2 linked regions of the Struthio camelus genome follow. The protein of the gene in region 2 interacts with the protein of the main gene of each other region in a pairwise test. Links are inferred from orthologs where the notes say so. Each region holds a gene or a part of one and is shown on either strand. Other genes may lie near its edges.

Evidence for each region.
Region 1: the proteins of SAR1A (region 2) and SLC38A7 interact in binary tests that used the Homo sapiens proteins (3 or more experiments, as listed by UniProt). The link is inferred for Struthio camelus from reciprocal best matches to the Homo sapiens genes SAR1A and SLC38A7.

The regions. Positions count from the first base shown.
Region 1 is NC_090951.1:23,112,467-23,120,273, reverse strand, and holds the start of SLC38A7 (sodium-coupled neutral amino acid transporter 7), read right to left. Parts: upstream 3,246-7,807; 5' UTR 3,158-3,245; intron 2,306-3,157; exon of another isoform or gene 2,091-2,305; intron 1,794-2,090; 5' UTR 1,595-1,793; coding exon 1,328-1,594; intron 1,072-1,327; coding exon 873-1,071; intron 777-872; coding exon 632-776; intron 1-631. Other genes in the region: GOT2 (aspartate aminotransferase, mitochondrial), read right to left, coding at 5,882-6,004, 6,492-6,642, 7,700-7,807. UniProt on the Homo sapiens protein: Symporter that selectively cotransports sodium ions and amino acids, such as L-glutamine and L-asparagine from the lysosome into the cytoplasm and may participates in mTORC1 activation. The transport activity requires an acidic lysosomal lumen.
Region 2 is NC_090948.1:40,234,343-40,241,810, reverse strand, and holds the start of SAR1A (small COPII coat GTPase SAR1A), read right to left. Parts: upstream 3,116-7,468; 5' UTR 3,028-3,115; intron 2,806-3,027; 5' UTR 2,789-2,805; coding exon 2,731-2,788; intron 578-2,730; coding exon 458-577; intron 1-457. Other genes in the region: PPA1 (inorganic pyrophosphatase), read right to left, coding at 3,536-3,567, 5,388-5,427, 6,419-6,488, 6,714-6,799. UniProt on the Homo sapiens protein: Small GTPase that cycles between an active GTP-bound and an inactive GDP-bound state and mainly functions in vesicle-mediated endoplasmic reticulum (ER) to Golgi transport.

The sequences.
Region 1 (7,807 bases), on a different chromosome or scaffold from region 2:
TGCCCTCTCTATCTCCTTCCTTACTGAGAACGCAAATATGCCAGGCACTGTCACCCACTGTCCCCCAAAGAGATGCTCACACAACCTCACTGTGCCCTGGGGCTGTGCTGTGGAGCAGACATGCTCCAAATAAAGGGGCAGGCTGACCCTGGGTTTTGGACAGGGATGGAGAAAGGGGCAAGTATTAAACAAATGGCTACAGTGTTTCTAGGCAGCCCTGGTCCAGTTCCAGCAGCCTGATTGACACCAGGATGTGCAGTTAGAGCAACACTGGCCTGCAGACCGCCTGGGCCTGGGTCCCAGGGGACCTTTACTGGCCCTCCTTTCTGCTGGGTGGCCAAATTCCAAAGACAGCAAACAAAGCAGTTGAGACCAGCTCTTCCCTCCAGAGAGCACAAGTGAGGGACAAAGGCCCCAAGGAATTAAGTTATGTCTGCACAGTGCTCAGCAGCAACTCTGTTTCCCAGGTGAGGAAACCGAGGTACAGGGAGGAGAAGGACATGTCCAAAGTCTCAAGGGTTGGTGAGAGAGTCAGGGCCAGAAAGGGTGTCTCCATGCTCAGGAGGGTTCCAGCTGGCCCAGGCTGTTAGCTTGTCCCAGCTCGCAGCCTTTGAGGGTTCTCCCCACCTACCTGGCATATTTCTGGAAGCCGATCTCCTTGGGGATGGAGAGAGGCAGGATGAGGAGGAAGGCAGTGATGCTGATGGTGAACTTGCGGTCTGTGTACCAGTGGCTGCTCCCTGCTCCCTCAGGCTCTGTCACGAGCGCAGCAATGACTGTGGAGGAGAGCTGAGGCTGTCAGAGTGCAAGACAAGGACATCTCCCCTTTCCAGGAGAACGGAGGGCAATGGAGTTTTCCTCAGGACACTTACTCTTGTCCTCTTGATCTCCGATGATGATGAGGAAAGCAATGCAAGTGCCAAAGGTGTAAACAGCGATAGCTACCTCGCACAGCACTCCGGGTACCTTCCCACACACAGCCCACACCACCTCCTGGTACGTCCGCTCATTGCTGGCCTGCGAGCAGTACGCCAGGATGACTAGGCCTCCAATGATGAAGACCAGCATGCACTGGAGAGGGGAGGAAACATGGAGGGGGCACAGTGAGGGAATGGCATGCCAAGGTCCCCGAAGCCACCCCAGATACCCAGCCCCAAACATACACAGCACCTCTGGTGTCCCTCAGAGCCCTGCCCCACACCTCACCAAGCAGAGCTCCCTCTCAGGGGCCCACAGTCTCTCCCATCCTTCACCAGGATCTCCAGCTCCCACCCGTGCACCCCTCCCCAGGGTGGAACATGGGGCCCTCCCTTCCCTGCCCTCTCACCATCTGCAGCGTGATGCCTGCAGCCACACCACCAGCCATGTTGAAGGCAGCGGGGAAGTTGAGCAACCCAGCCCCAAGGGCAGCGTTCACCACGATGAAGACAGCTCCCAGAGCGGAGGTGGCCCCCAGACTGTCTCCTTGGCTCTCTCCACTCTTGGGTACCGTCTCCACACTGGGGCTCTGTAGGAGCCTGGCCCGTTCCCCAGCATCAGCACTCCACTCCCAGTCCTTGTAGTCACTGTTGATGCTCCCGGTGCCCTGAGCCATCTTCCGTCTGGTGGCAAGATCCTTCCCTCCTACTGCAACACACGCTGCCCGCTGCGTCCCACCAGTGTTCCCACACCAGGCTCAGCCAACTGCCATGAGGAGCGTTTCCAGCAGCACTAGCTCCATCAAGCAGGGTAGTAGCCAACAACCAGGCTGGGACCACAGCAGTGCAGAAGTACAGAAGATCCCTTTGCTGATCCTAGAAGGGACACAAAAGGGGCCCAATGAGTTGGTTAAGGATTGTCGGAAAACTGCGTCATGCCTTGCTGTCATGCAGGCTCCCCCCTCCTCTGTGCCTGGGGATGGGCAACCCAACGGGATCAACACAAAAGCCTCTGGTGTCCTGCAGTCTACATTAACAGGAAGCAACCCAGGCATCAGACAGGGGCACACATGAAATCCATTCACTGGGTCTCAGCTCATGGGCCACTGCACTCAGGCACCCTAATTTCAGCAAAGATGCTACAGGATGGAGGGAGACAGGAGGAGAACTCACCTCTTGTCCTCTGAATTCAGGTTGAGGACGCTACTGCCTTTTGATAGTGGATTGCGCCCTGGTCACACAGCTGGGGAGCTGGGACCTCATCACAGGACTCACATTTCTGCAGGCACGAGACCCAGCGTCACAGCTCACTTCCTGATTTCCAGCCCCAAATTCTGCAAGCTCTGCAAGAGCTGCCATGCATGTGCTTTCTGGGTAAAGTTCAGGAACTGGCTCAATGAGAACGACCCGCACACACAGCAGGGCACATCATGTAACCAAGAAAAACAGGATCGGCACCCGCTGCCGCAAACAGCCTCCCCTCCCCATGTGCACCCAGCCTGCCATGGGATGACCGTCAGCACAAGATGTCTCAGAAGCGTTTGGAGAAGAGCCTACACCTGAAGAACTGGTGTTTCCATCACTAAAGACCCTGGGAGTTGGACAGTCCAGATCTAACCCCATTGCCTCTTTGAGCTCAAGATCAGCTCTCCAAACCCTCCGCAGACACTGAGGGAGCCTGGCAGGACCTCACGGGGACCTTCAGAGCCACAAGAAATCTCTTTTTCCTTCGACTCTTCCTGACCAAGTGAACCAATTTATTGCCGTGCGTTTGCTACAGATCCTCTTCAAAGCTTTCTGGGAAAAGAGGAAGAACCGCAGAACTGGGCAAAGGGAGAAGGACGACAGCTACTCTCATCTGGAAGGAGGAGCGCAAGGGGGAGAGATGCCGAGTCGCCAGGCTGGCGGGTCGGCTGGCGTGCGTGGGGTCCGTGGGGGCCTGGCTCTAGCTGCCGCCTGGCTGAGGGGCGGCCGGCGCTTCCCTCCTCGCCGGAGAAAGGCGCTGGCAGCCGAGGGGCTCGCCCCGCCGCCGCCGCCGCCGCCGCCGCCGCCCCACTAGGGCCGGGCTGCCCGGCTGCCCTGTCGCTCCGGGGCAGGAGACACGCTCACCCCAGGCCTCGTACGGGCCCGCTGTCCCCTCTGCCCTGGCGTGGGCCGCGCCGCCCCACGGTCACGGGCCTGGCTGTCCCCCCGGCCCAGCCCGGCCCGGCGGCGGCGGAGAGACCGCGGACGCCCCTTACCCGCCTCACTCACCCGGGCGGCCGGCGCGGCGCCGCTCCGCTCCGGCCCGCTCGGCCCCGGCGCTCCCCGCGGCGGCGCAGCCCCGGCACCGCCCGGCCCGCTGCACGCCGGGGGTTGTAGTCCGCCCGCCGCCGCCGCCCGCGGCTAGGGCCTGGCGCGCTCGCCCCGCCCGGGGCCCTTCCCAGCCGCTCGCCGGGGCGCAGCATCAGCAAGGGCAGGCAGCTTCCTTGCCTGCCGCGATCCTCGCTCCCCGCCGCGGCTCTGGCTCCTGCCTCCGTGTGTGGTGTCGGAGGCCGGCAGCACCCCCAGGCCCAGCCCGGCCTCAACATCGGCAGGGCAGGAGACAGAGGGGCTGTTCTGTTTGCTGCCCCCTGGGACGGAGCAGCCACAAGCAGCTGCTGCTGGCGCCGGCACAGGCAGGGCTGCAGCATCCGAGGGCCTTGGGAACACGGCCCCAAGCCCCCTTGCCCCTCAGGCCAGGAGAAGCAGGAGCACCCCCAAACACCAGTCCGTCTCCCCCCCCTCCCCCCCAGCTGCTAAAAACAGCTTCTTCTGTGCCATCGTTGCCATTTTATGGCTGAAACGTAAGCCACTGCCACGTCACCTAGGCAGTGGCTCAGAGAGGAGGCGGCAGCAAAGGACAGGCAGAAAGCAACCGCCGTGCTCCAGCTCTATTTTTATTGTAACAGAGAACAGGCTGCAGAAAGGCCTAATGATTATACAGGGTAAAAAGGCTCTCCGAAACCAGGGAAGACAGGCTCCAGAGCAGGGCAGAACGCAGGAGCACAGCACAAGAACCCACCATCCTACAGCACGATGGGCCAGCACCCAGAGCAGCAGCACAGAAAGCGGTTATTGCACAAATTGGAGAGAGGCAGAGGCTGTAGGCATCGGGCCATGTAAACAATCATTGCAGTTAAAGTGCAAACTGTCTGCTCTGGGGCAACGGGAGGCTCCAGCCCTGCGTGGCTTGTGTAAGCAGCTCCTCCTCTGCCAGAAAGTGCAGTGACAGCATGTGCTAGACAGACCCATCCCAGCTCTGAGGGGAACAAATTTGCACTGGTAAGGAAGGAAAAACAAGGACTGCTCTGCTAAACATCCTAGTGCAACCACAAAGGAGAAAGATGTCAGTTGGGAGATCAGAGCCACAGGGTGGAGAAAGCTCATTTCGGTACAAAAATATCCCCTTGGTGTCTGCCTAGGGACCAACCTGTGCTTGCTGCAAGCAAAAACTCCACCTTGCTTCAGTGGCTGGGCACAGGGCAGACTGCCTTTGCGCACTCACACTCTCCCCAGAGAGAACAAACAAACAAACAAAAAAAAAAAAAGAAACACAACAGCTACGTTCAGCTGAGTAGGCTGCAATTTTAGCTGCACGACCCTAACTGCCACCTGGAGCAGTCTCAGTCCACGTGCCCTGGCGCGTTCAGGACACAAGGTTGGGTGGGAACTGCACTGTTTGTGGGGGACCCTTCAAAGACAGGGTTTCACTGGCCATATGAGATCCCCTGTGCTGCCACATCCCCGAGAGGGAATGTTTGGTACGTGGAAGGGGCGGGATCCAGCGGTACTATTATAGCAGGAACTCAACACAGCCATGTGTCAGCTTACTTTAGATGAAAGATTGGAGTCCAGGTCTGCCCTATAGGCAGGGTCTGCCCTTGCCCTCTCAAGTCTCAGTTTAAAAAGAGAGAACGTTTTCTTGAGTCACCAGCTCTCAGACTTCCCTCAGGATCTTTCCTCCCTGCTTTCTAACAGCACCCGAAGTCTGGCTGAACACAGCAGACAAGAGGGGGACACCATGGTACACACCCCCATGTGAGGGTGCACATGGCTGGCCCCACATCTTGGCTCATGGCTTTGGGGGACACACACACATACACAGACTCTTCTTTGCAGGGAGGACTGATGGGGTTGATACAGAAACTCGGAGAGGCAAAAACCAACAAAGAGTAGTTTTCAGAGTATGTTCTTATTGAGGGGCAAGTAATTGTTTCACCTTGGAGTATGGGAGCGAAGCCAGGAGAACCAGGCAGGTTTAGAGAAATGACATTGGCCTGCCTCACGCACCAACACCACTGTGAATGACACCTGAGAGGAGGTTCCCAGCTGGAAAGAGCTAAGCCAAGAATGCAGCAGATTTTAGTAGTGAAAAGTCCTCAAAGCCTTTGTGCTGGCTGTCAGAGGGCAGCCTTCAGTGCTGCCTGGCCCTTGGCTAGACCAAAGCCTAGCAGCAGAAGGGGGAAGGAGGACAGAACTTGCAGACAGCGGGGACAGGCTGGGGAAGTCACAGGAGTGCACCTCAGCAGCTCTCCCACTCAGCCCACCCCGCTGCCCCTCCACTGCTGGCAAGTGGCAAACAGCCTTACAAAGCCTTCTCATGGAGAAATGAGTGTGAGGATGCACTTGTGCCTACACTGGTAGGATAGCAGGGTGCTAACCATTTGCTTCCTCCACTGCAGAGGGGTGCTGGGGCAGATGGAGAAAGGATGAACAGCAGGGGAGAATGGTTCTGATGGGAGTAGAAGCCAGCAATGGTGCCCCCACTCAGCAATGTAGGGTGATTTTGACTAGGCCTCTACAACAATTCATCTACAAGATACATTCAGCAGCGGCGTTAAGTGCTGTGGTTGGAAGTATTCTGCTTGCTTCCTTCCTCTCCCGTTCTCCCATCAGCAACAAGAGACAGGGGAAGGGAAGGCCAACAGCTCCAGGGCACACCTTTACTTGGTGACTTGATGGATGGCGTGAGCCAGGTAGCCCACATTGCCCGATGTAACTCCCGCCACAGAGATTCGGCCGTCCTTCGTCATATAGATGGAGAACTCCTTGGTCAGCCGCTCCACCTGGGATGAAAGAGCAGAGTTCAAAAGGTAGGCCAAGCTCTACTCTGTTAACAGAGTCCAAATCCATCCAGTTTGCCAGAAACAAAAGCAACCGAATGCCAGCAGGCGCTGAACCCACACCAACTACCTGCAGAGCCAGCGGTGCATGTCAGGAAAAAAAAGATGCTGCTCAGCTCTTGGGCAACACACAAGCACTTCAGATGTTCAGCCAGGACAGTCACCTCACTTGAGCTGACCCTCAAGGTCACCTCAGAGTGGCATTAAATGATCGCTTCCTCTGACAGATAAGCAGGCTACATTTGCTTTCAACCTCCATAAGCACAGCAGGGAGCAGGGCAGGACACAGGTCTCCAAGATGCTCCAGTGCTGCAGGCTTGGAGGATGGTCCTCATGGAGGGGGGACTGTTCATATGGGCTCATTTTAGCACAGTCAAGATCCATCTGGAAAGGATCACAAACACCCTGAGGCCACAAGAACAGTGTTTACCTGCTCAGGCTTCAGCCCTGTGAAGCAGAACATGCCAATTTGGTCAGTGATGTGCTGCCAGTTGTGGGAAGATCCCTCTTTCTTGAGGTTGGACACGAGCTGAGTTCGCATGCTGATGATCCGGTCGGCCATGCTCTTCACCTCCACCAGCCTGAGAAGGCAACCCAGGAACCACTCAGAGCACAGCCGGGATGCACTGACACTGCTCCTTCCCCAACTGCCTGGGAAGCAACCTTTCCTCAAGCCTGAGGAAGCCTCACCCTCCCCCCCCCCCCAAAAACATAGGATGTATAACCCAACCACTGTCCACGGGCACACGTTCTCTAGGTGGCACACACAGTAGGCAGGTGAGCAAAGCTCAGAGCATGAACCTACTGCTCCAGCTGGGGAGCTGCTCCTTTCTCCTGGTATCTGGAGGTGACTGCTATTTATTTATTCCACAGCTGCTGCACAGTGCTAACAGGGTCTCAGCACCTCTCACTTCCAAAAGACGCTGGAGACCTGGAGGGCTCGTGGCAGCACTGTCCAAAACCACATAGGATAGTATCTGGGGATACATGGAGAGGACGGGGGACCTCTCAGAGCAGGCAGACATTCCCTGCTCCAAGGCAGCACACCTAGGAGATGTCTCTGTCAGGCCCTGCCTCAGGCACAAGCGTCAGCCTGCCAAAGGAGCACAGTTCCCAGCAAGGCCACAATACACAGCGAGCCTTTGTTCTGCAGGGCCAGCTTCCTGCAGGGACTCAACACCAAGAGCCTGGGAGGGCAGCACAGGCTGATGCCAGGCAGCAGGCTTGGGGTGTGGAGGTTACATTCTTCTGTCTTATTCCCAGGGGACTTAAACTTCCACATCCCCCATGTGAGACATATTAAGTGACTACAATGCGTTAGTCAGCCTTCTGCACTCCTTGGACAGGCAGCTCCTGCAGCCTTCAATCCCGGTGGAGCCTTATCCCCTTTAGTGTGCTCTGCCCTGGTAACACAAGGGGAACCCACATGTGCTCGGCTGGACTGATCCTAGCTGATGCCAGGACACAAGCATCTTAGTAGGCTCCCATTCCTCCGGGGCAAAGGAGTGGCACAAGCTTCTGACTGTACCCCTGAAGCGGTGAACTGCCTGTGACACTGCCAAGCAGCAAGCACACCACAAGGCTAGCACAGAGAGACTTCACATCTTGCTACCGTGAACATTAGGGGTTCCCTCTTACCACTCCTTCCGCAGGTCAGGGCTGTTCAGGATGAGAGAGGCGATGCGGGCTCCATTGATGGGAGGGTTGGAGTACATGGGGCGGATAAGGATCTTCAACTGCGACTCA
Region 2 (7,468 bases):
TTTCTTGGTATATGTATATTAACATCACACACACGCCTTATATAAGATACTCGTACGCTGCAGAATTCAGCCACTGACAACGACAGGGAAAAAGTAAACTTCTACCTCCTCACTCAAGCACATGCTTATTAATCTGCAACTATTACACCTCATTACTCTTCCCATTAGAAACACGCTCCCTCCGCAAAAGGGGTAAGCTCACGCGAACTGAACCACGTTAGCTCTTGGGCTCTCAGTTTCACATTCGAGAGGGAGACGCAAATTTACTTCAGCTCAGGAAACCAATGTGTGAAAGGTAACCGCATCCTCAAAGCCAGTTTTAAGGCTGTTAAAGTCCATCTCCGCAGCATAAAGCTATCATTAGGGCATCTTTCAACACCACACTCCGATACGTGACTCAGTAATTAAAGAGAAAAATTACACGGGGCACCCTGGGTTCAGTCACTGGAAGGCTTACTTGGATGTAGCGTAGGGACATGCTGACCCAGCCTGTCATCTTTGAGCATGTGCAGAAGAGTGGTTTTGCCTGCATTATCCAAGCCCAGGAACACAAGTTTTCCAGACTTTTTGTACAAACCTGGAAGAAGGTAAAGAAAAAATCCGGCAGGCTTATTTTTGCACGCAGGCAGAAATGCTTCGATACTTGCCACTTTTTAGACACAAATCCCTCTCCCAAAACGTTACCGTCATCTGTGCATAGACAGTACTTCTAGAATAGATAGAGAACACCACAGGAAAACAAAACAAAACAAAACAGAACAGACAACAACCACCAAAAAACACGTCCTGGCTTTTACCAAGGCAATGCAAGATAACACCTACAACAACTGACGTTTTCTAAGGTCATATTTCTTGGAATAACATATTCTTCTCTCTGAGGACACGCTGTGTCTATGACAGAAGCATCAGATCGAGATGCTGAACTGCCCCTGTGTTTGACACATCCTATCAGAACAGCGTGCAGGAAAATATTCTTTACTTGCAGTGGATTACAGATCAATCTGCCACCCAGAAGGAGTATTTAAATGTGAAAATGGAATACACTCGGAGAAGATAGCACGGTAAGCAGGTTTACCGAAGAAAAAGTGCAAAGCATGAAACAATACAACATATTCTTTACACAAACAGTGACTTTTTTCCAACTCTAGGTATGCATCTGCCCTAAGCGAGTTCCATCATGTTTCCACCAGGACTTTTTAAAGAAAAAAAAAAAATCCTGAAAACTGTGAGAAGAGTCTTTTGTAGGCAAGTGACTGTTAATAAAGCCGTTCGAGTGACCGTTTCACTGCTACTGAAAGAAAAGGCTGGATTTGGATGTCAGGAATAAAGTAATCGCATCAAATTCCAGTGGTTCATTACAAAGAGAAGACACTCGGGATACCTTGACGTACCTGCAATAAGGGAGACCTCACAAAAGCCAGCCGCCTGGGGCATCTGCACGAGCATGGGATACCTCCCTCCCTTACATCCCAAGAAGCTCCCTGGACGGAGGGCACCTAGTCCTCCAGCAAGGACCGCGGTTGGATTCAAGACTTTGGCAGGAGGAGCCTTCCTACGGGCTCACCATCACCCGCAGCTCAGGAAATAACTGCTCGCAACGTGGTAAAGCAGGCAGCCAAAATACACGGGCCTCCCTAGCCTGGGCAACGGCGCCTTCGTCAGCGGCCAGCACGTTCTCCCCCGCGTGCTGGTAAGTTTGCTGGCTCGATAATGGGAAGCGACAGCTCGAGGAAAAGCAAGCTAGCCGGCCGCAGCAATGAGAAAAAAGCGTGAACTCTGGTGGAGCTGGTTAGCTTGGATACCAGGAGGAGGGCTGGAATTTACACCAGTTCCCTCCCTGACTAAGCAGCAGGTCTGCCTTCGGCAAGTCACTCGCAACAGGATGCACCGAGGCCCTCGGGCATCTCTCAGGTGCATTCGTGTTACCGGGCCGTCCACAAAGGCTCCTCCTCACCTTTTCGGAGGCCCAGGTTCGCACATCTGGGATTCCACATCTGTAAAAGCACTGCCCTCGGTGCCCACGCAGAGAGGGTGTGGGCAGCTCTGTGGCTCTTGCTTCTTTAGGCAGCTGCCTAACCACGTTATTGCTCTGCCCAGCTCTCCTAAGCTTCACCTTTCTTCACCGGTCTGGGAAGCAGACAGGCGGTTGCCCAACCAGGACTGAGAGGCCCTACCCTTAATGTTTGCAGTGAAGGGGAAGACTGAGTTATATCAGGTTACTGCACAAACCATCTGGCTGTGCACCGTGCACGTCCCGATAAGAATTAACAATCCGCTAAGTCGTAAACGTTTCTATGACTCTGTTAGTCTTTCTTGCCAGAAACGGCTGCTGTTGGAGACAGGGGACCGGACTAGACGGGCCTTTGGCGTCAGCCCAGTGGCCCTCACGTTTTCCGGTGGGAGCCGACCAACTTGAAGATATACTAAAAGTTTCTCGGTGGGGGGGGGGCGGGGGGGGGGGGGAAGGTTTATCAAGCGGCAAGTCTCTAACCAGACCTCACACTAGCCTAGTTTGCTCGGTTACGCGCTCCCGACTAGATCCACTTTAACCGCTGTCTTTTAAGTTGTATCAGCAACCGACAGGAGCCAAACGAGCGCAGAGAGTTAGCAGCTGGGGAACGCAGAGCGCCCTACAGCTCGAGGGGAGCTCTGGGCTTTTTTAAAAAAATAAATAAAAAAAAGGGAAGAAGAAGAAGAATTACCCCAGCTGGCAGGGGCGGCTGGCATTACCTAGAAACTGCAGCACGCTGCTGAAGCCGTTGTAGATCCATTCGAAGATGAACGACATGGCTGAAGACGACGCGCCTGCAGGGACACAACCGACACGCGTCTCCGGTGAGAGGGGCAGCGCCTGTGCGCCAGCACGGCGAAGGCGGCGCGTCGGGCCGGGCCGGGCCGGGCCGGGCCGGGCCGGGCCGCCGCGCCTCGACGCCGCGGCCGGGCGGGGGAAGCGGGGGAGGCCCCGCCTTCGCCGCCTTCGCCTTCGCCGCCGCCCCGGCCCCGGCCCCGGCCCCGGCCGCCCCTCACCTCCGGCCGCGGCCCCAGCGACTCCCCCGCCTCGGCAGCCGCCACCTCCCCGCCGGAAATGCGTCACCCCGCGCGCCCCGCCCCTTCCGGCCGCGCCGGCGCCGCGCTGGCTCCCACGTCGGCCCCGCTGGGACCGCCCCCCGCCCCGCCCCGCCCTCCCCTCGCCTCCCCCCACGTGACCCGCCGGCGGCTCCCCCGGGCCGGGAGCAGGAAGGAGGCGGCGCCGGTGCCGGTCTCGGCAGCCCTTTTATTGCTCGCCTACCGCCCGCGCCCCCCCCCCCGTCCCCCTCTACGGGGACGGCGCGAGGCCCGGTTTCACGAGTCGCACCTTCCGGCCTGCACGCGACCTGCACACACCGACACACACGTGGCGGGTAGGTACACAAGTCTAATTAGAATAAGTTACAGGCAAGGTCTTCTTGTCGACAGTGAAGCTATTTCTCTATTCCCGCACGTAGTAGCTTCTTGGGGAGAAGAACGCAGTCGTTCCACCATCCGTCGTTCAGCTTCAGTTTTTCTGGTAATAGAACCACCTGTCAACTGTGTTGAGGAAGGGAAAGGAGATTTAATCCTCAAGCAGCCACACACTTATCAAATACAGTCATAGGCTACAAGCCTCCCTAGCAGCACTATCCCATCTGGTTCGGGGCCAACTGCTACTCCCTTCCTCGCTCCCGGAGCGGTCGAAGCTGTGCTCAGGCGCTTGCAGTGCTTCCTCTGCAGCCCACAGCACCTTTCTGTGAGACAGCACAGCCTAGCATCCAAAACGCTTCTGCTATGTACAGAAGCAAAATTAAGAGACAGCGATTGAATTTTACGCCTCAGCGCTGAGGTGAGTAGTCTACCTGTCCTACTCCTGCGGACCCAGGGGATGGACTGCTCATTAGTGAAGGCCTCATCATGCCAGTTTTAAGGCATCTTCATAGCTATGACCCACTGCTCTCCAAGACAGGGAGCCGTTCCTCAGCATCCTTCACAAGATGATTCCCTGCTGCTCGCTGTGCGGAGCAGACAAGCATTTCCATCAGCTACAGTACAGAAGCGTTAGAAGGGGTCTTTTCACCTTTCCCCAGGCGGCCGTGCATAGGCCAGCCTCGGTGTGCAGGAGGGACAGTGGTATCCCACGTGCCGCTGCAGCAAGCCGTGTTCATAAACACTACGAGTGAGCCAACACAGCAAAACTCCTGGTATGATCTGACAAGCACAGCACTGTGGGCATCCCCTTCAACTCCATATTACTTCAGGGGTTTCCACTGGCTAACTTCTTCATACTCCCAATAGGCTCTTGCAGCCCAGTTGATATCTGCACATGTATTTGTTTTCTGAGGAAGTCACCCTTACTCAGTTTACCATTACTTCCAAAAGGGGATAACTGCACATGACTCATGCAGGGTGAGGGCAGCAATCCAGAGCTAGCTCGGATTCCCTGACGCTCAGCTGTCTGACCCGGGAAGGTAAAACTCATTTTACTGCAGACTCCCGTGCCAGCACAGAAGACACAATTACGCGCCTTCAATTTCTTTTCACGTGACCCACAAAGAGACTCAAAATGACAGCTTCGTTCAGGCATCCTCCAGCCATACAGCTGCGAGTTCTCAGCTCTTCGCGAGACAGCGTCGTTAGGTCTTACTTGCCCCTGGGTCTTGTCCCTATTACAGCAACATCCTGATTTCACACATAAGGTGCCTCCACAACCTCGCGCAGAAGGAAAGGAAGGCAGCTGACCAGGACTTGTCCCACAGTTGCAGTTTTCTTACGGAGTTGTGCCTTATGTGACACATTACGTTCCAGACACATGCAAAGAGCCTTTCTACCAGCTTGTAGATGACACTTTTCAGTGACAGGATTCTGATCAGCAGGTTAAGCAGCAACTGGAGTACCAAATTCATGACTAGCTTCTACCACTCCTCTCCATGGAGAGGAGGTACTTTCCTTCTTCAGTTCACCTGCACTTTCCTTATACTGATACAAAAAAAAAAAAAAGCCTCGTTTCTGAGGCACTGATGAAAGTGCTCTGCTGCTATTGTAACACTTCAGTCCTTTGAAGTGCTTTTCTTCCAGCTCCAAGGACCTGTCGTGAGCCACGTGCCTTTGGGAGCAAACTAGAGCATCTCAGGTCTCCTACTTACTGCTCATATACCAGCCTCATGTACTTAAATAAGGAATTAAGGCAACAATAGAAGTTATTCAGGTATTAAACAGCATTGCTGACAGAAGTTAGATCCGACAAGGGCTTTCATTTTTCCTAGTGCCAGAACCATATCATAACTACCAGTTAAGACCCTCATTTTCCTATTGATAATTCCTTGGCGGAAGCCTCCACTCTGCTTTGCAACGTAACGTGGGTTTTGGAGACTTACCTTCAGGTGGGATTGGGTTGGCAGCTTTACATGGTGGTGCCTGAAACAACAAGAGTATTAGCAGGGAGAAACTGTCAGAGCAATTGAAGTTTAACTCTACACCTGAAGCTCACTAAGCATCATTTCGAGATGCACACTGAGCGCAGTGTAAAATCTAGGCTGCATAAATTGCTCTGTGGCAGTCAGTGCTGGACAACTATGAGAAAATAAGCTCACGTACAACATGAGTCCTGTCATCACCACTCAGCCTCCTCATTCTGTACGTGTCCTACGTGCCTGAGGTGCTCTGCTCTAAACACAAGCAGCCATTCACTCCGCTCATATTGTAAAGCCATCTGTTTCAAAACACAGTTACCGCTCCACTGTCTATGCACTTGTCTGTAGCCTGCTCTTAAAAAGAAGATAAAAAACCCACCAACACACAACGTGCTGGTGGAATACAAGTGGAAACGACTTTTCTAGTTACACTTCCATACATCGAGGCGATAGTTTCTTTTTGATTCTCCTGTCCCATTCCTCTAACTGCTTTCAAGTTGCCAATAACAGTGTTTCACAAGCTTAGGGAGACTCAGATGAGTCCCGAATCTGGACGGGGCCAGTCCACTGACTTCAAGCCTTTCATCATAAAGGATCCAGGGCCCCTGGCTGCCAGTCTCTCAGAAGTCAGGCTTTCTAATCAGAAGTGGTGACCCGTACTGTGAAACTCCTGAAAGGTCAAATACTTAAACAGTCTTTGAACAGCTGAGAGCAAAGCTATAGTTCAGAAATTCAGCCCCACAGAAAGCCTGTTTTGGATTCCATCCCCCCAATGACTCCAAGGGCAAGGAGGCGGCTCTGGAAGAATGTCTGACTGTCTCTACATCCTTCTTCATATTCAGCCAGAAACAGGTGCCAGGTCCAGTCATCCGAAAAATTCCGAGTATTCAAAACACCATTCATAGAGGGAGGACTGCTTATGGTACCACACAAATGACTTTATTTTGTCCGACACTGAAGCTGGGGGAAGGATACTTGGACCAATTTGTACTTACTGCATCCACAGTAGCTTTTGCACACTCTTGACTACAGCAAAAAGGGCTGTCTGACACAGTCAGATTCGTGCTAGAAGAGAAAGGTTACTTGTGAGAACGTGAAAGCTAAGTTTCTCCTCCGAGAGTATTAAACAATGGAATACCAAGAAACACGCTTGAGTTGCCAAATTTAAGGGGAAGACCAGCAGAGTCAGTGAGCTCCTAACAGAAAGGAAGTCTATGGTCAGGAAAGCAAGTTTCAGCCCTGTTTGTTTAGGAGAAAGAAATATGTGCTGTAACATCAGTGTTCACCTACCAGTTGATCTCCCCGCCGTCCGTTTTTTTAGCTATTAAAGCTTTCCAGTGTTCATGAGTGCTTTTGATGACGTTCACTGCAAAATCCTAAAGTTGAAGATGAGAACAAACATCGCGTTATTATGTAAATACTAGACCACGTGCCCCAGACTATCAGTTACATGGAATGAGAGGCCTGTATTTACAGGCTGGTTTTAGATAGTTTCTAACTCAGGAAGGTACCCAAAGAGACCTCTTTCACGCCTTCCATGAGTAGCAGCTGAAACAATGGGGATTTTATAACATGAACTGTTTTAACTTCAAGATGGGAGGACAGGCTAAGGTCACCTAGTGAGCCTGAAGCCAAGAGAAACTGAATCCAGATATTCTAGTCTCGGGCAAGGGCTACAGTACAAAAGCACCCCCCTCCTGCTCCTCCCACTCAGTCTGTCTAAAGACAAGAGTGGATCTTGACCCACCTGCAGCCTTTCCTCCGCTCTAAGCAAGTCACTCAGCCGCTGCCCACGTCAACAGGAAGAGACACGCACCTACTCTAGCTTTGCAAGTATTTAAAAATGAATCCGCTTCCAATCATATCTCACTTTTTTCTTAAAAAGTGGTATGTACTCAAGCATTAATCTGTCAGCTAGAGAAGGAAGCATACACAGTCCTTTGTTAGCACAAACACCAGGAATAAATATCCTGGTTTGATACTACAGACGAAGCCAAATAAAACACTACAGGAACGCGCACAAGGTTCTTGCCCCTAACCTTCCA